Arabidopsis thaliana: one gene and its partners. The protein of the gene in region 1 purifies or fractionates together with the protein of each later gene. This does not show direct contact. Each region holds a gene or a part of one and is shown in the gene's direction. Other genes may lie near its edges.

Region 1 (5,833 bases):
TACATATTTTTGTCAACAGATAATTAATTAATTAGGAATACATATATACACAATATTAGAATGTAGAAAAATGGTTTGATATTTTAATGGGTTGAGAGACGATCCTCAAGCTCTTTATTGTATAACTGTATCAAACCTGTGGTATCTTGATGTGGAAGATCATGAAGCTTCTCGTCTAAAAGACTCTTGTACTCGTTATCTCTATCTTCCCATTTACGCATGAACTCTACCTGCAAAACACAAACCACACACCTCATCAGTAAGTCACTTATAAAATAAAAGAGAGGAAGAAAAATTTATGTTAGAAAACAAAAATAAACGGACTTGTTTCTGAAACGTATCGAATTCGTCTGAACTAAGAGATCCATCGCTGTTAGAGTCAAGAAGCTGCATCATCTCCTCTGCGTCTTCACCTGGAGCTCCAAGCTCTTCCATCACTTCCATTAGTTCCTCTATGCTGATCATTCCGTCCCCGTTTTTGTCCAGAAGGCAAAACACTCTGTCTCTCTGGTTCGTTGTTGTCTTGAAGCTTTGGTGTTTATTTGATGAGATATCTTTGAGACGAATCGCTGCAAGATCCGCTGCTGCCAACATTATCGCTTTAAGCCGCTTCGCCTAAACATGAATTTAAACAAACAACTCAACCTCCTAAATTTGCCAAACTAAAAAATCACAGAAGTGCTTACCTCTTTTGGGTCGGTTAGACCGCCTTTATACAAAGAATGTGATGCTGTTCCAGCATTAGCGGATCCATCCATATCCATTGTCCGTATTTGTATCTCCATCAAAGGTCTTATCTGATCGCTGTCGCTAACATCAACTGCCATGTGTAAACTCCTATACCCATTTTCCTTTGGCCTAGCAATGTAGTCTTTTGTTCTATGCGGAATCTCCTTCCACAAAGACCGGATAATCTCACTTGTTCTGTAACAGGCTTTTTCGCCAACTTCAACATCGTTTACTACAGAATTAGGCATTAATATGACCCGTAGACCAAGCACATCGTTCACTTCTTCCGGTTTACGCCCATCTCTTAGGAGCTTCTTCATCATGCTGTACCGACTTTTATACCGACCTTTAATATATACATCATTCACCATTTCAGCCAAAACCAAATCATCCTTCAAAGACCGATGAAGCTGCTCTTTGTACACGTCTATCAACGGTTTAGACCCGTTCTCGTGACCTCTTAACCATGAATCTAAGTATATATACGAACACGGAAAAAGATAACGGAAAGAGATGTCCTCGAGCTCAAGTGACAGGTGATTAGCCCCCACCGCATGAGCTAAAGGAGAATAAATCTTCAACACTTCAAGAGAGAGAATCTGCTGGCGATACCTTGGCAAGTGATCCAAATGCCTCATCTCATCAAGCTTTGAAACCAAATCCATAATCACAGCTCTGATGTCATAGTAGGTTAAATAGAACTTTCTCAATGAAGCAGCAGTTTCATCGTCTAACACATCAACTTTAAAAGGAATATTCTTCACACGAAAAATCTCATGAAGCAGATGAGCAGTTCCAGTACCAATATGGTCTCTAACTTCATATATAGATATCGCATTCGCGTCCACCACCTCACTCAATATACTCGCCGAGATAACTTCTGCATCCATCTACCATTACCACATAATTTATCAAATATCAATTGATAGAGCTTTTCAAATAACAATGTCACAGAACTCACTTAATCTCAGATTCTAGTTCTAACTTAATGCTTCAATTTCGTCACAGAATCAACAACAAAACCTAATTCATCTAAACAAGAAACTGTGAAAAATGCAAGGATCGAGAGTAAACCTGGAGATCTGCGAGAATGATAGAGAGTGAGAGAGCCTTAGAAAGAGGAGAGCGACCATCAGAGGCAAGAGGAAGAGACTGTAAAATCGGAATCGAGAGCTTGAGAGCTTTAAAGAGTAACCTAGACGAAGACGTCGACAACCAAACCGAATTCATCCTCTCCGTTACTTCGTTGAAAGCTCCAACAAGCTCCACCACCATTTTCCCTCCCGCTGCCTCCGGAGACCGAGCCGTCGATTCAATCGCAGTATCCTCCACCTCCGACCTCGGATTCCACCGTCGACGTCGTCGCTGAATCAATTGAATCGAATAAAGACGACGATGCAGTACCTGAGATCTGCATCTCGGAATTGGAATCGGAGAAGGACGAATCACAGACATTTGAGAATTTGAGATTGATTTTGAAAATTGAGGCAAAATTTTCATGTACCGTTTTGTTTTTGTTTTATATGTCGCAATGGATAAGCCACGTAGGATTTTGTTTTTATTATCGTCCACATATTATAAAAAGAGGGAAATAAATAATATTGAGACTCTCTTTCTGAGATAGAGGCTTTGGTTATCATTTTGTCGCCCATCTAAAACCCTACGCAAAAGCCTTGAGAGTTCTGGTTTCTGCATCTCTCTCCTTCTTCGTTTAGACTTTAGCCATTGAAGGTCGCTTCGATTCGAAATCATGGCGGCCGTACCGAGAGGCCTCCTTTCTCGAATCAATCAGTTTCTATCAATACGGTCTATAACTCCTTCATCCTCTGAATCTCTTCCTCATTGTAGTAGCTTCTTTCTCATCCGACGATTCAGCTCCGATACTGGGTTGATGGACGGTGGTGGATCTGATATTATCGGGGCTCAGACCCGAATCATTGAGGCGAAACAAGGTGAGATGTCTAGTAGATCCAAGAGGACTGGGATCATCGCGGTTAAGTGTGGGATGACTGCGCTCTGGGACAAATGGGGAAAGAGGATTCCGATTTCTATTCTTTGGGTTGATGATAATATCGTCTCTCAGGTTAAAACTGTTGAGAAAGAAGGCATTTTTGCGTTACAGGTAACTCCATCGCAGTTTACTCATTCCCATTTTGGCCATGTAGTTTGTATCTCCTGGATTTATTGATAGGGCTCTTAGTGGTTACTTGATCAATCAATCGATTGCTGTAACTTTATGTGTGGGTTTATGAAGCTCATGGTTTAGTAATTTGATTGGCATGTGTTGTTCTGTTAGTTAGATCGGATGTGGGCAAAAGAAACCGAAGCATTTGTCAAAAGCTGTGGTGGGGCATTTCAGAGCACAAGGTGTGCCGTTAAAGAGGAAGTTGAGGGAATTTCCTGTGACTGAAGACGCTCTTCTTCCTGTTGGTACTTCACTCGGTGTCCGCCATTTTGTTCCGGGACAGTACGTTGATGTCACTGGGATCACTCGAGGAAAAGGTTTTCAGGTGAAACCATTCTCAGGGGCTCTAAAGTTTTATCTTTTCTTTGCGATGATAAGTTGAATAGTCTAGTGACAATGTGGCAGATATATAGAATGGAGTGCGGATGAAATAGTGTTTGTGCAAAGTAATGGCTGTGTTATTGATGTCTTTTGCTGTGTAATTTGCAGGGATGCATGAAAAGACATGGTTTCAGTGGAATGCCGGCATCACATGGTGCTTCATTGTCCCATCGAAGCGGGGGTTCCACAGGGCAAAGAGATGCTCCTGGAAAGGTATGTGTCAAATTGCTAAGATTCTTGGGAATTTTTCTCCAAAGCAAATGACACTACTGACTTGATAAATACACTTGAGTAGGTGTTCAAGGGCAGAAAGATGGCTGGGAGAATGGGTGCAGATCAGAGGACAGTAAAGAACGTTTGGGTCTACAAGATCGATCCTGCGAGGAACCTCATGTGGGTGAGAGGACAAGTAAGTATCTCAATCCCAGTTCCAGTCTTTGGCTAGGATCTGTCTGTCACAAAACATGAGCTCCATTTCTCTTCTCTTATTAGTAGGTCATGATTGTGATTTGGTGTTGTTGCAGGTTCCTGGTGCAGAAGGAAACTTTGTGTTCATAAAAGATGCATGGTGCAAGAAACCAGACATCTCAAAGCTTCCGTTTCCAACTTACTTAGCTCCAGAAGATGAAGATCCATCAGAATTAGAACCGTTGGTTGCAGATCTTGGAGAAGTTGACCCATTTATGTTGGCAGAGTGATGAAAACAGCATGATCTTGATCTTTATTTGGGCTTTTACAATGATTAGAGACCAGAAAGAAGCTGTGGAAGTGAAGGAATCACAGAGCTAAAGCTTTTTGCAGATGAATTTGTCTTTTTCTTATTTTAGTTGTTTGGATGTATGATTTGAAAACGATTAAATAGAGGAATTTAGGCTTGCTCGCATTTGTTATATCACAATGCTTAAGAGTTTGCAATAAGCAATGAGGAAAACACAAGATTATTATGTTTCCTTTCATCTTCCAAATATATACACTTCGTATTAACAAAAAATAAAAGATTCTGTTTTTAATTCAACAAGAATCAAGACCCAATTTTTAATCTTCTATATAAGTTTTTTCAGCTCCCAATAGAATTATACGTTGAAGTCTCTTCAAGCCCAAGATCTTCAACATTCTGAGAACAACACAAACGCTTCTTTCATCTTTCTCTCTCTCTCTCTCGCTTAGGGTTACCGTTGAGGGAGAGAGTTCTCAATCTCGTTGACTTAGCCATGAATCCGGAACAGAAACAGCGCGAATGCATAGTCTGCCGTGAAAAAGAGCCGTCGTTCATCCACACCGTCATCAAAACCGGCGCTTTCCGGCGACTCTGCACCGATTGTTTGCTCAAAGAGTACCGAGAACACTTTTGCTCTGTTTGTTTCAATCTCTTCGACAACGCCGTTCCTCCACAAGCTCGTATCATCTGCGTCAATTGCCCATCAAGCACCCACCTTTCTTGCTCAACTCAGCCGCCGTCTTCCTCCGCCGCATCTTCCTCCTCCTCCGCTCCACCACCAGCTTCTTCCTTCACATGCCAGCCATGTTCTAACCCCAATTTCACCTTCTTCCCCAAATCTCGAGTCAATGAAGACGTCCCCGATGAAACGCCTCTCACTCCGAAATCGGCAATGGCTCTTGTCGCAGCTGGAAATATCTCGGTGGCTAATATGAATAAAGCGGTGGCTCTGTTAAAGGAAGAAGCTCTTAAGAAGATCATAGCAGCTAAAACGGCCAAGTTGAGAGCTAAAGGTGCATTGACGAATCTTCAGGATATTGTTATTCGACAGAGTAAGGTCACCGGCAAGAGGAAGGAAGATGAACGCTGATTTTCTAAATCTTGATAGCAATTTTACTGGTACGTAGAGCTTTTGTGTGATATATCGCTTCTAGGGTTCAAGGAAAGACTACTTTTTTGCGGTTATTGGCCATTTATCTTGGTGAATTTTAGTTCATATTCAGACGTGTTTGATCAAATGTCTCCCAGAGAAAGCTGGAGACTTTGAATTAGGATACATTAGGGCTTTTATTTTGTACAATGGTGTGTGTAAGACTCAGTGACATTCATTCATATTAATCGGTTCCATCTTCAATCTTTAAAAGTATCTGTATGATTTCAAGAGTTCATCTTGTTGTGTGGCTTTACTGGTTTGGAGATTTTCATGGAAGGTTTGATATTTTTAGAGTTCTCCAGCTAGTGAATTAGGTTTTGATTGGCACTTATCCAAGAAAGTGATAATACGTTGATGTTTTGGTTTGGAAGTTGTGATAAAGCACACATTGAAGAATGTTTTGGATGATTCAGAGTTCTCGAGCCAAGAAATGATAATGCGTTGATGTTTTTGGCTTGAAAAATGTGATAAAGTCACTACTTTTGCTTGATTGGAAAATTATATAATTTGAATTGGTAAAATTAATATAGGTAAAACTGTTTTTGCAACACGAAAATTGAAAGACCAAGTTCAGGAACTTCCAAAGTTATGTTTTGCTATATTGGTGAAAGAGCAAAACACCACAAATGAATATCTGACTGGACTGCAAGAGAGGGTTAGTTACGTA
Region 2 (6,039 bases), on another chromosome or scaffold:
CATAATTAACTGACCCGCCTCAGGCAATTCAGGGAAAATGTAAAACGCATGAAACATGTTTGGATATTCGATTAACGTTGCTTTTTTACCGCATAACTTTAACCACTCGTAGTAACTTCTCTGCCAATCTTTTAACGGATCAAACCCAGCTACTACCACCATCGTCTCCGGATAATCCAGACCCGATATATCAACCGCGTTTGGTCCGCCGACGTTAACCGCTTCATGATCCCGGTTTAATCCCATCGCTTTCCAGCACCAATCTGTTCGGTCCGGTGAAACCAAAGGAGCTCCGACGAGTTGTTTCTCCGCTTCCGTTCTCTCTTCTCCGCCGAAGAAAGGTTGAATCGAGATAAGTCCGATGAGTTTCACGGCGGTGAAAGATGACCGCGGCTCGCGACAAATTCGAATCGCGACGTTGTGCGCGATGTTTCCACCTGCACTGTCTCCGGCGAAGAAGCATCTCGAGAGATCAGCGTTCGCCGGAAGAATCGAACCGTGATTCTCCTCGATGTACTTCAAAGCATCGAAACCGTCGTCGTATTGAGCAGGATAACGATGCTCCGGAGCGAGACGGTAGTTAACGGAGATGACATAAGCAGGTAATTTCCTAGCGAATCTCCGGCATACATTATCGTAAGGATACGCATTAGGACTGAGGAAAGCGAAACCACCGCCGTGGAAGAAAACAACGACGGGGATTTTATCGCCGGAGACATGTGGAGTGTACAATCGGAACCAGAGATCACGGGATTGATCCACGACGAAATCGGAGGTGGAGACGATGTTGACGGGTTTAGGATTGGGAGGAGCACGGAAATCGAAGAGGCGGAGGAAACGGCGGTTGATAGTTCCGTCAGGACGTTGAGCGTTATCGGTCATGGTGGAGATAACGGTGAGAGCGATTCTTGTTTTTAACGGAAGCGTTAGCTTTTGGTTTGGTTGAGAATCTGTCGCCATTTTTTTTTTTTCCTCTCTGTGAAGAAAAGATGATGATTAATGGATTTGGTGGAAGAGTACAGTGAATTTGTAAGCTGTTATTACTTCGTCTATATAGGCTAAGAAATATTCTGCCAGCTGTAATTTTCTATGTTTTTATTGACGTTTATAGTTAGAACAACTAATGAAAATAATCGTTTCAAGGAAACACGTAAACGTAAAAATAGAAAAAAATCTCAAATATTTTGGATTTGGCTTAAGGTTTAAGTCACTAGTTTTCTTCTACTACAGTGTTGAATGTCGATGAAGTCATGTCACATGGCCAACGCAATGGAGTCACATAAGAGCAAGTAGATTCAATCAATGTACATGTTGCAGGAGGCAAGTAATTTCTAATGTCAGAAACCTGCATCAACTAATTTTCAATCTCATTCAATTCTTCTCTATGTTAGATTCAACAGTGGTCATGGGTAAATTTGTAAAAACAAACTTTGAATGATTACAGCGGTCCAAACAGACAAAACCGTTTATAGACCGGACCGCTTTTTATTTACCATTCATAAATTATAATCCGTAATAGTACATACTTAAAAAAAATAGAAGACAACCGCATCGGACTAACTGCGGACAGTCTTTAAACTAAGTCCGCATCGGTTTGTTGTCCGACCCAAAAATGGTATGGACTAAACCGCTACGGATTAGTCCGCACTAACTACAACATCCATTCAAAGCAAAAAGCAAAACAAGAACGAATTTACACCATCATGATTTAGATACACGATATAATCCAGGCATATTTAATCCCGTAGTTACCTTCCAAGTTCAAACCATATAAAAATGTGAACTTCTAACACATCGGAATACAAAAAATTTGGTCTCTAATAATACATCAACAGTGCATCTCTAGTAAAGAAAAGAAAACAGAGCATATATCGTCTCATCCCAATTAATTAAAATCGTTAATACCTAATTAGTTAGTGACTTATAATTTTTTTGGCCAAATTGCGAATGCGGTGTCGTTTTAATGTTTGAAGACATGAGAGGTTTTAGGGTTTATCTTTTTTACACTCACAATCAAAATACTGACGACTTCTTCGCCACCGTGGTTAACGCTGCCTGCACCGTCGGCGGAAAACAAAAAAGCTTCAACTCCATTGGTTTCCTCTTCCTCGATCTCTCGATTAATTCTCAGAGGCAAGCTTCTTCTATTAGACCAAACTTGTTTTCGCATCCTAATTGTCAATTTCGGCGATATCATTTCTAATCATCAATTTTCTCCCTTTTCGAATTAGATCGGAATTATGTATAAATTTTTTGGTTGCGTATCTTTGACGTGAAAAAACCCTAATTTAGGTGGCTTTCCGCAGTTGAAAACCCTCGAAATTGGCCCTGCCATTTTCAATTTCTTTGATTTGGATTCTTCATGCTTTCCGTTTCTCGTTGTTTTTTTTGTTAGAAGAAAGACGTGAATTTGTTGTGATGTAATTTTTAGGATTATTCTCAAAGAGAGTAGCAGCTATGGGCTGGAAAGCTGCTGAGAAACTCATCAGACACTGGAAGATACTTCGAGGAGACAATGTGAGTACACCACTCATGTTCTTCTTGTGGTGTTCATTAGTTTGGTTTCATTTTTGATCTGTTGTTTCTGGGGTATGATTTTATGTGCAGGTAATGATAATTCGTGGGAAAGATAAGGGTGAGACTGGAACCATAAAGCGTGTCATTCGATCCCAAAATCGTGTCATCGTTGAAGGGAAGAATCTGGTGAGATAGTCTTGTTCTGGATATCTTTTGTTCGCTCTGTCTCATGCATTTAGAGAATGAATGTACAAGTTCATTTTTTGATTTTTTTGTTCTTGATTTGGTTTGTAGAGTATGAACTAGTACTGAATCAATATCATATCACTAGCTCAACACCAACCATAGAGTTATCAATTTTCATTTGATTCTCATTTTTTTAATCCAAGCATCAAGTAGACGGTTACTAAATCACAAAGCGACTCTAGTTCCATGGATTTCGCTACACAATTCTTTTGAATTGTTTATCTTGAAACTGTTATCGTTTTGGATGTTCTACCTTGCTGCTGGGATAGTCTTTGTCTACTCACTGAAGCTTGTATATGTTTTTCGCTGATGCTTTTTTTTTCCTGTGTTCTCAGATCAAGAAACATATAAAGGGAGGCCCTGATCACGAAGGTGGAATTTTCACTGTAGAGGCTCCTCTTCACGCCTCAAATGTCCAAGTTGTTGATCCTGTCACTGGGTATGATTTCACTCTGCACTACTGTCTCCAATTACTCTTTTGCTCAAGCGAGAGATCACTTATTAATCTATTATCTTTTCTACCACAGGAGGCCTTGTAAGGTTGGTGTAAAATACCTAGAAGATGGAACAAAAGTAAGAGTAGCCAGAGGCACTGGCACATCTGGTTCCATAATTCCCCGACCAGAGATTCTAAAGATAAGGGCAACGCCGCGACCCACAACTGGTACATAGAAGCTCAATATCTCTTTAAACGTTGGATTTTGGAAATATATAGTGGAAGTCTGTTAGCTATCTGAGAAAAAAACATAATCATAGATCGGCTATAAGATAAACATAGAATCAACATAATTCGTTTGCTATCAACATAATCAACAAACTTGATAGTAGCGGTTTTCTTATAGAAGGATTCATACTTTTCTCTTTGCAGCTGGCCCTAAGGACACACCAATGGAGTTTGTCTGGGAGCAGACATATGATGCTAAAACTGGAAAGGGCATGCCTGATCTTTGAGTTGAAACCTCTCTACAGTTTCGTTTGGAAAATGTTGCCTGCTCTCAAAAAGGATTCTTCTTTTTCCCATCCATTAGAGTTTGATTTCGGTCTAGAGCTGTGAGGTTTTGTTGGAGAACCTTTGATCATGACTGAAACGGAGTCGTTTTCCTTTTTTCTTTCATTGATCTTGTGAACTTTCAAGGTGCCAAATAAAATCCGTCTGGAAAACAGTTCAATATTTACATGTTTAGTTATTGTATATACACTAGCCAGAAGTCTAAACATAAAACGAAAACTATAAGCTCTAAGTAAAGTAGATTTATATTATGCAACCGAATTAACAATATTAACACAATGACATGATTTGCATTGTAATGAAATTTAAAATTTTGACAAAAAAAATATGGAAATTCAAATTGGTTATTAACTTTTATTTTTGGGGATGATTTGGAAATTTGGTGAATTATTGGTTACAATAAATAAAAGGAAATATTGAAGGACTTATATGTAATTAGTGTCGCCTAATCGAGTAATTCGATCCATCTTCGTCTGTCTTGTTAACAAAGAAAACTGAGAAAGGTTTTCTTATAAGATCCCATTCTTGTAGCAAAAACCCAGAAGAACAAACTTTCGAAGAAGACGACTAATCAATTCATCTGATTATGGAGAGACTACAGAGAATCTTCGGAGCTGGTGGCGGTTTAGGTCACGCATCGCCTGATTCTCCGACTCTCGATACATCGGAGCAGGTTTACATCTCTTCTCTCGCTCTCCTCAAGATGCTTAAGCACGGTAATCAATCCAAACCCAAGCTCTAATTTAGTCTTCTCTTGCTTAGGGTTTTATGATTTTGTCTCGTTCTCTGTGATTTTACTCTCGTCCTCTTTTGCTCTGGAACTCTAGGGTTTTATTCGATCTGTTTCTGAGATTCAAAATGCGGATTTGAGTAGAGATTTAATGAAAATTGATCGGAATATTGCAGGAAGAGCTGGTGTTCCTATGGAAGTCATGGGATTGATGCTTGGAGAGTTTGTGGATGAATACACTGTTAGGGTTGTGGATGTTTTTGCGATGCCTCAGAGTGGTACTGGTGTTAGTGTTGAAGCTGTTGATCATGTTTTCCAGACTAATATGCTCGACATGCTTAAACAGACCGGAAGGTAACTAGTTCTTCTCTAAACCTATTTACTACGCTTAAGTGAGGTTTCCTATTTAGGTTTTGGATCTGATTCTTCTTGTATCTTGTTTCAGACCTGAGATGGTGGTTGGTTGGTATCATTCACATCCTGGATTCGGCTGCTGGCTTTCTGGGGTTGACATTAATACTCAACAGGTAGAGTTTTGTTTGCTCTGTTTGCATACTTATCAATTTGTGAATTGCACTTGAGAATTTGTTGTTTGCTTTATTGATGGCTCAAAAAACTAAATAGAATGTTACTCATTGTGTTCTATACCCTGTTGTGATTCACTTTGTATTATATATGTTCATTGTGAATATCTGTGTGCTTTTGTAGAGTTTTGAAGCTTTGAATCAGCGAGCTGTAGCAGTGGTGGTAGATCCGATTCAGAGTGTGAAAGGAAAGGTGGTGATTGATGCGTTCCGCTCCATAAATCCACAGACCATTATGCTTGGGCAGGAACCCCGTCAAACAACATCGAACCTTGGGCACTTGAACAAACCATCGATCCAGGTGATTATCACTAACTGAATGTGTCCTGTTTTTAAGTTGAAACGAAATCAAAGGTTTTCTCTGATACTGACTTTTGGATACTACTATGCAGGCTTTGATTCACGGGTTGAACAGACACTATTACTCAATAGCAATCAACTATAGGAAGAACGAGCTTGAGGAGAAGATGTTACTCAACCTCCACAAGAAGAAATGGACAGATGGTCTGACGCTAAGACGCTTTGACACCCACTCCAAGACCAACGAACAGACGGTCCAGGTAAAGAAACACAGGGTTATGTTTTTATCTGTTCAAGCATATTCTACAATCATGTTCATTGACATTTTCATTATCTCCTGTTTAACAGGAGATGTTGAGCTTGGCTGCTAAATATAACAAGGCGGTTCAAGAGGAGGACGAGTTGTCACCAGAGAAGCTGGCAATTGTGAATGTGGGAAGACAAGATGCAAAGAAGCATCTGGAAGAACATGTCTCGAACCTCATGTCATCCAACATTGTTCAGACACTAGGCACTATGCTCGACACTGTTGTCTTCTAGAGAGCTTACTTCTCCAGCCGCTTCAAGTCATTGAGCTTTGTTCTTCTGCATCTCTTTGGCTTCTACTGAATGTTCTCTTTTTATCTGCTAGCTTTTTACAAGGTTGTACTGTA
Region 3 (5,455 bases), on another chromosome or scaffold:
CTTTTCAAAGCTTCAGCAGTTGGTTTTGCGGATTGATCTGTGTGATCATTAACCGAAAACTTTCATTCGTTGGTGTCTGAGTTAGCAATCTCTTGGGGTTTTTCCTCTTTCAGAGGCCTGTTGATGGACTTGCTGGTGCGCAACAAGATTTGAGAAGTTTTAGCCTTGTATTTGAGTACATAAAAGCTTTGCCTGTAAGTACTCCCAACTTAATGTCTACTTACTGAAGATTATCACCTGAAAGAACGGAAAAAAAAAACAGATACATCATCAGCTTCCTGCATTTTTGTCTGCAGGCGGGTCAAGAAACAGACTTTATTCTGGTATCGTGTACTGGTTCGGGAGTAGAAGCCAACAGAAGGGAGCAAGTGTTGAAAGCTAAGAGGGTAAGTCCATTTTGTCTTACACATCATAATAACTCTTGAATCTTTCGAGGCTATGGATTGTCAGGGCTTTTGTGCCAGTAGGTTCCATCTTTTCACATCTCTATCTCCTTCTCTCTTGATGTCCGCTAAATTTGTTAGGCTGGTGAAGATTCTTTAAGGAGATCAGGCCTTGGATACACAATCATTCGTCCTGGTCCCTTGAAGGTAATGTTCTTTGAGCTCCAGCCATATTGTATATATATGGCTCTGAATACATATTTTCTGATATAGGAGGAACCAGGCGGGCAACGAGCTCTGATATTTGATCAAGGAAACAGAATTTCTCAGGTTATTTCAATCACGAAAAACAAACTCAAGCCACCTAGCAAAAGTTCTCTGATGGAGCCACTTATAACTTCCCAATGCGCTATTTTCTTTCAATTTCAGGGCATTAGTTGCGCGGATGTGGCTGATATATGTGTCAAGGCACTGCACGATTCAACCGCCAGAAACAAAAGCTTTGATGTGAGTTGCAGTTTATAGAGAAACAACTGAGAAAGAATCAATCTTTGACCCTTTTCAAGAACCAAAACTAAGAAAGATTCAATCTTTGATCTATAAAGAAGAAATCACATCATGGATCTCTCAAATTTCTTCCATTTGGTTTTTACAGGTTTGCCATGAATACGTTGCTGAGCAAGGAATAGAACTCTATGAGCTGGTAAAAGAGTAAACAATCACTTGCAATAAGAGTCACATCTACATCATTACATCATCTGATAGTGTTTGTCTCTTTCAGGTGGCTCATTTGCCAGACAAGGCGAACAACTATCTGACTCCGGCTTTATCTGTACTTGAGAAGAACACATGAGAAGAAGAATCATTGATTCCATTTTGTATATTGTACACATCTCAAGCTCTGATACGCATTACATGCATATATACATACGTACATGTATAACTTGTACATACAAGAATCTCTTTGGTCTCTTTATGTCCATTACCATTTATTTCTTATATTCAACTTAAAATTTGTGTGCTAATACAAACAATCCAAGGCCACCAACATAATAAAAAGGGTGTGAAACCCAGTTTTCTATTACACAAAACTCATAATATTTTGAATGATAAACATAAAAAGTATCTTCATTCATTATAAGTAAACATTGAAACTTCAGAAGATCTCAGACTTTGTCTTATTTATCTCAGATAGTCATGAAGGCGTACGACACAAACCCATCAAAGCTTGGAGAAAGGTTTGGCGAGAGAGCTGAAAAACGAAGATGTCGGAGAAACAAACGGCAACTTTCCGGAGCTTTCTTTTGACTTGCTCTCATCTTCTTCCTCTCCGTCAATGGCTTCTTTCTCAGCATCGTCCACTATCTGCTCCGTCAAAAGTAAATTCACAAGTCAGCCAAAAAAGAGTCCAAATTAGTTTACCCGGTGGACCAATTGTTTTTAAAACTAAACCTTTTCGGTGACGGCAGGAGAAACAGACGGAACAATAACAGCGAGCTGAGTTTTAATCCGGTGCAACGCGTCTTTCGTCATACCCTGCGCCGCTCCGGCGAAATCCTTAATGGCTCCTTCCAAAAACTGTTTAGCGTTTTCAAGCGACTCAGATGGAACCGAAGCAGCCGATAGTTTTTCTAACACTTTATCCTTAACCGCCGCAAGATTCTTCAGCCCCAACATGATCGTCTTCCTCTGCTTCTCTCCTTCTTCTTCCTCTGATGAGGAATCCACGGAATCAGGGTTCGTTGCGATTTTGATCGCGTGGTCAGGAGAGTAGAGGTTCCCTTGGCCCACGTTTTCGTCGGATTCTGGAGAGATTTTGATCGCGTGGTTTGGAGAATATAGCTTCCCCTGGCCCACATCGTCCGACACTGCTTCGCCGTTGTATTTTGTGGCGGATATTCGGTGATGATTTTCCATTACTACTACAAGATTTTGACAGTTGAAAACTTGAAATTCTTTCTTTTTTTGGTTTTTTCTGTGTGATGGGTCGAGAAGAACAGAGCAAAGCCACTTAAATTCTGTTTCCGGAAAAGTAATAATGGTTCTGTTTTTGTTTGTTTCCCGGGAAAATGAAGCAGAGTTGGAAAGCTTGTGACACGTGGTAATGACATGGCAACACGTGTCCTCTGTCGGGAGTTACTGGATGGGATAGTGGGCTTTGTTTAGTTTGTGATGTTATATAATAAAGGCCCAGTAGATGGAGAATTGGTTTTAATAATTGTGTGACCGGATTTGTCTACGACCCGACCCGATCGACCCGGAATTGAAACAGAAGGGGGATACACAGAGGCGGCGTTAGAAGAAGGAAATGGAGTTACAGTATTAGTGAGAGAAGGACGAAGAATAGATAGAGGAGGAAGAAGAATAAAGAGAAAAGATGAACAAGAAGGAGATCTTCAAGCTAGCGAAGGGTTTCAGAGGAAGAGCTAAGAATTGTATAAGAATTGCGAGGGAAAGAGTCGAGAAAGCTCTGCAGTACTCTTACAGAGATAGGCGCAACAAGAAACGTGAGATGAGAGGTCTCTGGATCGAGCGCATCAACGCCGGTTCTCGTCAGCACGGTGTACGTTTTCCCCCCAATATTGATTAGATTTTTGCCTATTTGCTTCCCGTCACTGCTAATTGCATTGATTCGATAAATCATGATTAGTTTATAAATAAAACTTCTGAGATATTGGTTGGTTTATTTTTGCAATCTATGATGAGTTTCTTTTAGGATGGAGCTTGGGATTTAGGGTTTTCTTTTGTTAAATTTGGGTGCTTGATTTCTCCAGAGTCTGTGGTTGCTAGTATAACAAGTTCTAGTTTGATGTTTCAAACAGAACTTGATGGATTACATTATAGTCTTAACTTTTTTGCTGTATTCTAGAGATTTTTCTTATGCAGTGGCACTCTATGTTTGCATCTACCTAGTGATAGAGTTAAAACTTGTTGGTTATAACTAGAAGCGAAAGAATTAGATTGAATAGTTGAATTAAAGTGCATTTTAGATTAGCTTATTTTCTTCAGATTTTACTGTTGTATCTTTGATCAATTTGGAGCTTTCCAATATCTGAGTTTGAGATATTTATCCAATGGAGATTTTGGATGTGAATGTTTAATTTGAAACTCAAATATGCTTAAAGAAGTGAATCATTTCGGATTGATTAGAGGAAAAACACATTTCATGTCAATAGTTTTGATCTAACTGAAACAATGATTACTTCCTAATTCAAGTAGAGAAACATATTTTTCTAACTCGGTTACCTCGTTTTAGCTTTGTAACAAGCTAAATATATGCTATTATAATACTCTGTTTCTTTTGAATAAGATGGAAATGACATGTTTGATTGGAATCCTAACATCTAAAACTTGAAACAGGTGAACTACGGGAACTTCATCCATGGACTGATGAAGGAGAACATCCAGCTGAACCGCAAAGTCCTCTCTGAGTTATCTATGCATGAACCTTACAGTTTCAAAGCACTTGTGGATGTCTCCCGCAAGTCGTTCCCTGGAAACAAGAACGTGGTCCAAGCATCTCGGAAAGTAGACATTTCATCCATCAATGCCTAGTTAGGACCAAGTTAGTTTAATCTTGTCCTTCTTATGAACACGGAATATTTAGTTATTTGTCAGAATAACATGTACCCCGGTGATATTACTATACTTTTGCAATTTGAGAGAATGTATTTCGTCTTCTTTATTTCGTTGAGCAGATCTAAATCCATTTATTTGTTTATTAGTTTGAGAAAATAAGATTGAATCACCTAAATAATCATAGATCTAAACCCTAGGATCGGAACAGTATTTGCTTTAATCACATCATTGTGAATCAATGCCTTGCTACGGAAGAAACAAATATCGGAACCGTGAATCAAAAGGAACTATGCCGCATTTGCTACTAGATGAACCCAGAAAACCCCACCATTGTCGCCTGTGAATACACTGCTCAACAAATGCAGCTTGGCGAGGAGGCAAATGACGAGAAATCCACAGAGCAACCTTGCAGTCATCGACAGATTTCTTGGCGAAACAGTGAAGCATTTGGGGCACAATCAACTTTCCCCTTGGGCTCACTCCCACTGACGCCTGGATATAATCTTTCTGAGCTTCTTCAAGTTCTTCTCCTACGTTCTCGGCTGAGTATATTCTCACCTGCAAGCAATTTCTGTGAGAAATTTGCAATATCGGTTCAAGAATCTGATGTAAAATGCAGATAGATATGGAAATATTACCGCAGGAGATGAGTGCATCCCGCAGCTGAGAGCAAATGACACTAGAGGTTCCGGTGTACTTATCCCCGCTTGTCTCTGTTCGTCTGATACTTTCAGCTTGAGAATGGAGAGAAGCAGAGCCTGAATATCCCGGTTTAGGTAAGAGTTATAGAGTAGAAAGTGAAGAGATTGCAGAAAATAAAGAAGGTGAGTTTAGTACAATTTGAGGACGATGCAGAGGAGGGCTCATCTTTAAAGTCATGTATTCGATCGTTGCTGCGTTGTATGAATGGCCACCAACTGTATAAGCAGCCTGATAGAATCTCCAAATCAGAGACTTATACTAACCTCTCTCCGAACCAAACCAAGAAGAGTTAAGTAGTTTTTTTGTGTGGAGATCAAACCTTTTGCATCAAGGAGAAGAGCTTTAAGTCAGTTTTTGGTACGCCGTAAGCCAAGTATGCCTGAATCAGACAATCAGGAAATTGTAAGTTTTGTTGTATCTGCAAATCTAAGTTTAGAGAAATTCCAAAGACTTTATTACATGCATGATCATGGCATTGTATATGTTGATCCAGAAGGCAAGCTTCTCGTTGTGGCTTAGTTCTGCTGGATTTACTCTGGCAAGTCTTTCAACGAGGTTCCTGTATTGAAAATACCACATAAGAGTTTGTCAAGTTCCAAGGACCATAACTTCAGAAGTTGCTTGAACTGTGTGTTAATACCTGAATCTCCATAACTCATCTGAAGCATATCCGAGCCTTTTCTCCTCAACAGACATTGAAGCCACTTCAGTTGCAGATCTGTAACTCCCGATGTCAGCCCAGCTCAGCTTTCCTTGGACTGTATAAAGATCAAACACATCGCTCTCTGTGG
Region 4 (6,362 bases), on another chromosome or scaffold:
ATGCAGCTAAGGAATGGACTCGTCTTTACGCAAGTGGTGCTTAAAGAAGACTGCAAATGGAGAAAGATCATTGTCATTTAAATAACATTATATATGGTGAAACTCTATCTCAAGGTTTTATCTGAATCCTTTTTCTGAAAACAGAGGAAAAAGATTTGTACTCTCTGAATTTGTATAACTAGGGGGATCTAAGACTCGTTTACCCATATCTGGAATCTAACTTTCTTCAATTGTGCTTGCTTTTGATCTTTGTTTTTGTTATATATGCTCTATAATAATCTTTATAAAGTGGTGTAGATAATCAGATTTTCACAGGTTGTGAATCAAAGTAAATTGGATGAATGATGCATAATGTTACTATTACAGGTGTATGAAGCAGCTTATTTTGGTCAAATGTAAAAAAAAAAAAAAGTGGTAAAAATAGTAGTCACGAGGAATGAGACTTGAGATTTTGAAAAATGGGCATAATCAGAAACTTGACTCGTCAGTTGATGGACGCCTCAAGAAGTACCTCAGACTATTAGCAAGGACCTACAAATACAAAATTTGATTTCATTTCAGTAAAAACATTTCAACTTATCAAAGAGAAAAGTCTAATTTCAGAATTTTAACCTGCTGGAGAGGCTTGATTAGGGCTTTGTTCCTGTAGCTTACATGAAACTTCACCTTAGCCAACAAACCCTTTTTGTTTCACATACAACAAGAAGAAGCAACATGAGAAACAGAGCGATATTATAGCGGAGGGTATATGTTTTAGACATTAAAAAACAGGATTATTAGATACCTCGGTGTCGAATTCTCCAGATTCAACAGCGACGCTGATATCTGAAATGATCTTCACCAGCTCAACTAATAGTCCAGGTCTATCCGCTGATTCTATGAAGAGTAAACTGCATCATCAACAAATAATTATGGATCAATGATCAGATCATATATCATAAGAATAAAAGCATTTGGATAAGGTTCTAGAGTTGAGATAAGGTATGGGTATACATTACCTGCGGTCTGGTCCATCATCTTCAATGGTTATATGTGTTGCTATGTCCACGTCAATCTGTCAACATCCCAATCCAAAATACAGAAGAAGGAAAATGAATTTTGAAGCTACTTTGAAGTTGCGTGGGTATTCCCTTCTTCATCAAAGTGATTAATACTATAATGAAGTTTAATACTTGTACTCTACATTGACCCGCCAAATCCAAATATGTTGATTATTAGTTAAGTCTTTGTTTTCTCTATTATTGTTTCTTATCTGTACGTGACCGAGGAAACGACAAGCAGTCTTGACCTTTATGTTCGAGGATGCTAACTACTTGAAGAATTAGTGCAATACAAAAGAAGTGGATAAGGTTATAAAAAGAGCATCACAGTTTAAGGTTTTTACCGGTTCAGTTGGAGGAAGAACACCAAAAGCTGCTCCCATTGCCAACTGAGAACTTGATTCCTGATCCAAATCATCGAGAAGCAATGTGTGAGTTAAAAAATTATGCAAGATATAGGAAAAATAGAAAGAGAGGATATTAGGATGTGAAGTAGTTACAGGATGAAACTCAAGCAGATTGTTTATGACTGTGAGACGAATGGCCTCAAGCAATTCAGGGTCTTCTACTTTTCTTCCACTATCTCTGTTGTAACAACAATTACAGTCAGCTCAAAACTCAATCTAAAGTCAACTATTTGACAGAGTCAATCGATTCAAAGCAACATTAACTATCTAAACGACTCTTGGAGCTCAAAATACTCTTTGATGATATGAAAAGACATACGCTCTAGTAATGGCAAATTTGTTGTGCTTGCCGGAAGAATCAAGGTAAACATTTGCCTTGACGACATTCAATCCCAAGTTTTTGAGCGCATTCATCTAGAAGGGCAAAGTTGATCAGATCAAGAAGCAGTCAAAAAAGCAGGAAAGGAAGTAAGAAGCTTTTGTGAATGTTGGTCGATTATGCAGAGCTAGCAACAAGTGAGTAAGAAGAAGGTATCCTTCCTTACAGTGTCAAGTAAAGCTCCAAGACGATCTCCGAATGTAACTTCAAGAACGGTTGCATCAGGGTCAGAATCTTGGTCGATTATAACAACTGGAGTTGGAACTTTATCAGAATCAGCAGCACTTCCTTCTTGCTTTCCATTCTTCAAAATCAAAAACAAAAACATATAAACTTTAAAAAGTCTATTCAAATTACTAGTGTCCTTGTGTAATCATTTCATTTTCATACCTCCACAGCAGTAGCATTTGATGCTCTAATCTTCAAAGTGGATAATCTGAAGAAAAAAAAAAAAAAGAATTGAATTGAAGTATTTGAATCCGTAGAAGATCAGCTCAAAACAATCTGTGCTTTGAATCGAATTCCAGCAAAAGATACGAATTTATAACCAGCAATAAAATCATTTGGACATTTTAAAAAGATTAGCAACTCGGAACACAAAATTCTGATAATCGTTAAAAAAAGGTATCAGATGCTTTTTAAGGATTTAGAGATCTGTGGAGAAAATTCACTACAAAAGAATTTGTTTCGGAAACAGTATTTACTTCATGAAACTCGAATCAGCACAAAACTAAGATCACAATCGAAAAAGCAATCCAAAAGAAGCTCGAATTCAAATTCTCAAGAAGGCATCAAGAGATAGCCAAAAAACAAAAACCTTAATCGCTCGAGATTGACAAGAGGTTTATCGACAAATCCAAACGTAACTGTCCTAGGAGGCAAGCAAAGAGCTCCACAATCGCGTCTTAAAGCAAGAGAGCTAGAAGCATCAGTGAAGCAAAGAGCAGAACCAGAAGCAGAGGCCATAGCCATCACTCAAAAATCGGAATTAAGAAGAATGAGGAAAACGTTAGAGAGGAGTAGTAGTAGTGATGACGAAGAAGAAGAAGAGCCTTTGGACAGGTCTCGTGTTATCCGCCATGAGAGGATAATAAAAAAGATGTGACACACACACACAAAAAAAAAATGCCCGTTTCGTCCTTCTTATTATCTTCAACGTTAGATCGCCATTTCTCTTGCTTTCCCTTTCCTTGCCTACTTTTACATTTTCTTTTTAAATTCCACCAAATATTGTCTTCTTTTAAAATTTAAAAAAGTACACAATTCGACAAATTCTTCACATTCCTATTGGCCCCGATTTTATCGGATGTGACATGCTATTGGTCAGTGTTTTACCGACTAGTTAAAACATTAGGTGGCGCTAAAACAAATAACTAGGTTAAATGGAACATGACGTCATCCTTTATAAGTAATGGCCTTTATGGCCCAAACTTTCATCTCAAACGCTTCAGCCCACTGTTTAATGGGCCTAACGCTAAAGTGATCATCATATCGAAAATTACAAGTTTGCCACTTTCTCGCTGCTTCATCCCTCTCGTTGGTTCGTCAGATTTGCGTCCAAATCCCTCCCTAAAACCTTGAGTCAGACTCAAGAGATACGAACCAGAGAAATGTGGAAGTACGGTTTAAGAATCGCCGCCGGGAATGCCAAATTGAATCGGAAGTCTTCGATTCTAAATAATACCGTTTGTCATTTCTCACCTCCGACTTCAGCCGCCGTGGGAACACTTTTCCCGAGTTTAGATCACGTTCATCGATGCTTTTCATCTTCGAAGAGCACGAAATCTTCAATCACCAAAACGAAGAAATCTGAAGGCAAAAAATCCAAACCTAAAGGCGGCGATCCTGGTGCCGCCGGAGCTGAGGAAGGAGAGTTTGGAGCCGCCGGTGGAGACGACCTTGAAGCGGGTCGTGCCAAGAGACTAGCTGATGATGAGAAGATTCCGTCTCTAGATGTTGGTCCTAATGGAAGGCCTCTCTTTACTCCCAAAGATACTACACTATCGCAGCTGACTCACAAGGATATTGGCTCCTACTTCAAATTCGAGTAATCTCAATTCTCTCTTTCCCTTATGTTTCTGTTTATCTATTTTTAGAATTTTGTATGAATCGTTTTGTGTGTGTTGATGTAATATATATATTGTGGGAATGATAGTGAGGCAGCACTGAAAGCAGTTCTGCCGGAAGGATTAGCTTCAGGAATTGAAGATGAGTTTAATGAATCATGGAGACCTGCATTGCTTGTCAGAAAAAGTTACTTGGCTCTGAGGGATAATTTTAGACGCATTGCTGATCCTCCCATGTGGCCAAGTGACAGTAAAGGTGTGTTCTTTGTTTCCGTTATGTTGATTTCTAAGTATCACGATTAGTGATCTCTTCTATGGTTAACAGTTTTGTGTGTTTTTATTTTCCTTTGAAACGAAAGCAGCCTAATTTGTTTGCTAAGTCTTGCTTGTCATATGCCCTTATCCGGGGATCTGTAATACCATAGGTATTTATAATCATTGCTTCCTCTTTCTTTCTGAAAAGGTGTCAAACTTCAGAAGCAGATTGTCTTGGATGGCCCTGTTAAGTGTGGAAAGAGTATTGCTCTGGCGATGCTTGTTCACTGGGCACGTGACGAAGGCTGGTTAGTTTTATATGCACCAAAAGGACGTGACTGGACTCACGGTGGCTACTTCTATAAGAATCCACATACAGGGTTTTGGGACACTCCTCTACAAGCTGAGAATATTCTCAAGGCAAGATTCCACATGCCTCCTCTTTTGGAATGGAATTCTTCCTATTTAACAGCATTTCTTAATAAACTTAACTTCTGTAGGATTTTGTCAAGTTCAATGAATCCCGCTTAAGAGAGTTACGGTGCAAAATCCATGATCCTATCGTGCTTGGAGAGGGTGCGGGTGTTGGATACTTGAAAGGAGCAGATGCTATGCCTATTCCCGAGGATTCAACTCTGTATGACCTTGTGCAAATGGGAATTAAGAGCACTCATGCAGCTGTTAATGTCGTTGTGCGACTTAGAAAAGAACTCTCAGTTGTAAAAGATGTACCAGTGTTGATTGTAATCGATCAAGTTAGTCCCCAGTTTTCCCCTTTATGATACCATATTTCGCCTTCTATTATTTTAAATCTCTCTCTTTTTCACTAGAGCTAATGCTGCTTGTTTCTTGTTGTTTACTTGTCTTTCAGTATAACAGTTGGTTTACATTCAGCGAGTTTGAAGAGCCCGTAACACCGCGTTCTTGCCGACCTATACATGCCAGAGAACTTACAACGGTGAATTTTTCTTCCAAATTGATTTATGATCCAGAAAACAAAAATCGCAATTAACTCAATTCTTTTGGCAGGTGAATGCTTTCAGAAGCATGATGCATGAAGATATGATGGTGGGTGCATTCTCACATTCAACAGCAGTAGGAAAACTACGCAAAGACTTGCCAGATGTTCCAGTTGATGCTCGTCAGCAATTCCCACGTTATTCTTTGGATGAAGCAGAAGCTGTCTGCTATTACTACCTTCGGTGAGTTAACATGAAACCAATTTTAATAGTACTCAGCTCTGTAATCCTCCTCTCAACTGATCAGACCCGTTTTTTAGTTATAGTTCATTATTGAGTCTATCTACTTGACATGTGTATGGGCCTAAACCGAATATCGATTTCACGAACGTTCAATATGGTATTGTTTCAGGCAAAGACTAGTTCGGCGTGAAGTATTCAACGAAGAAAACTGGAAGAAGATATACTATCTGGCAAATGGAAATGGAGCAGAGATGCGTTGGTTAGCCCCTTTCATGCGTTGAGGAACAATATACAAACAAACAAAATAGATTGTGATCTTGATTTGTCGCCTTTTCTGGTGTTTTAAGTTATCCCGTTAGTTTGGGAGAGAAACTCTTTTCATTGACCTTTCTGAATTAAAGGAAGATTTTTGTTGTTTGAGTTTGTAGTTTTAGGTTTCCTTGTTGTCTGTAAAACACTGGTTTTTGGACCTAAATTTCTTTCTAATAAAATCAGTGCCTCTCATTTATTATCGCTCGAGTTGATAACAATGTTATGCAAAAATAAAAAGTTGTGAAAGAGTGAAAGAATCACTCACAAAACAGGCAATTGATGGGAAGAAATTGCGGAACTGCATATTTATTGTGCGGAGTTATGATTACACCAAAACCATATAGCATAGAAGATAGCCAAATAGGTTTAAAAAGAACACCAAATTGATGTTTGTTTTCACAAAAAGGAAAAATTTAGACATAACATAACACATTGAGAAAAGTACACAAGTTCTATTGAAAAAGAATAGACATGAAGAGCTATACAAACCAAAAGGCGAAGAAGAAGAATGAGAAGAAAAAACAATTAGCTCATCTTAGGAAAATGAAACCACACCCTCCAAGCATCACCATCCTAACCGTAATAACTCGGAGACCCAAAAGAAAAATTTTAATGAGAATTAAAAGGAAAGAAAATAACACTACAACCACCACCAAACGAACCCACCAGCAAGATCACATTTTTTCCAGATTCATGAAAAA

What was found.
Region 2: the proteins of RPL3P (region 1) and AT5G23535 fractionate together in Arabidopsis thaliana (co-fractionation; one large-scale study listed by BioGRID). This does not show direct contact.
Region 3: the proteins of RPL3P (region 1) and AT1G16740 fractionate together in Arabidopsis thaliana (co-fractionation; one large-scale study listed by BioGRID). This does not show direct contact.
Region 4: the proteins of RPL3P (region 1) and AT1G16870 fractionate together in Arabidopsis thaliana (co-fractionation; one large-scale study listed by BioGRID). This does not show direct contact.

Annotation. Positions count from the first base shown.
Region 1 is NC_003074.8:5,976,219-5,982,051, reverse strand, and holds RPL3P (ribosomal protein L3 plastid), read left to right. Parts: upstream 1-2,357; 5' UTR 2,358-2,479; coding exon 2,480-2,851; intron 2,852-3,029; coding exon 3,030-3,239; intron 3,240-3,403; coding exon 3,404-3,508; intron 3,509-3,590; coding exon 3,591-3,704; intron 3,705-3,819; coding exon 3,820-3,993; 3' UTR 3,994-4,330; downstream 4,331-5,833. Other genes in the region: CRSH (Ca2+-activated RelA/spot-like protein), read right to left, coding at 84-230, 325-615, 687-1,619, 1,804-2,229; AT3G17460 (PHD finger family protein), read left to right, coding at 4,507-5,103.
Region 2 is NC_003076.8:7,933,414-7,939,452, forward strand, and holds AT5G23535 (KOW domain-containing protein), read left to right. Parts: upstream 1-1,902; 5' UTR 1,903-2,133; intron 2,134-2,383; exon of another isoform or gene 2,384-2,431; 5' UTR 2,432-2,457; coding exon 2,458-2,517; intron 2,518-2,607; coding exon 2,608-2,703; intron 2,704-3,098; coding exon 3,099-3,202; intron 3,203-3,290; coding exon 3,291-3,427; intron 3,428-3,631; coding exon 3,632-3,714; 3' UTR 3,715-3,992; downstream 3,993-6,039. Other genes in the region: CXE18 (carboxyesterase 18), read right to left, coding at 1-960; AT5G23540 (Mov34/MPN/PAD-1 family protein), read left to right, coding at 4,359-4,488, 4,679-4,856, 4,948-5,029, 5,211-5,387, 5,479-5,646, 5,735-5,926.
Region 3 is NC_003070.9:5,725,013-5,730,467, forward strand, and holds AT1G16740 (Ribosomal protein L20), read left to right. Parts: upstream 1-2,609; 5' UTR 2,610-2,760; coding exon 2,761-2,946; intron 2,947-3,743; coding exon 3,744-3,938; 3' UTR 3,939-4,103; downstream 4,104-5,455. Other genes in the region: HCF173 (high chlorophyll fluorescence phenotype 173), read left to right, coding at 114-194, 297-386, 525-590, 657-890, 1,039-1,086, 1,165-1,236; UP6 (uncharacterized protein), read right to left, coding at 1,605-1,748, 1,836-2,300; AT1G16750 (GPI-anchored adhesin-like protein, putative (Protein of unknown function, DUF547)), read right to left, coding at 4,209-4,520, 4,601-4,720, 4,800-4,892, 4,984-5,043, 5,124-5,223, 5,305-5,455.
Region 4 is NC_003070.9:5,770,232-5,776,593, reverse strand, and holds AT1G16870 (mitochondrial 28S ribosomal protein S29-like protein), read left to right. Parts: upstream 1-3,271; 5' UTR 3,272-3,436; coding exon 3,437-3,873; intron 3,874-3,981; coding exon 3,982-4,148; intron 4,149-4,355; coding exon 4,356-4,567; intron 4,568-4,647; coding exon 4,648-4,902; intron 4,903-5,018; coding exon 5,019-5,105; intron 5,106-5,176; coding exon 5,177-5,349; intron 5,350-5,518; coding exon 5,519-5,630; 3' UTR 5,631-5,862; downstream 5,863-6,362. Other genes in the region: UBC36 (ubiquitin-conjugating enzyme 36), read left to right, coding at 7-44; ACR11 (uridylyltransferase-like protein), read right to left, coding at 469-531, 613-681, 785-890, 999-1,054, 1,385-1,444, 1,541-1,625, 1,767-1,861, 1,993-2,130 and 2 more.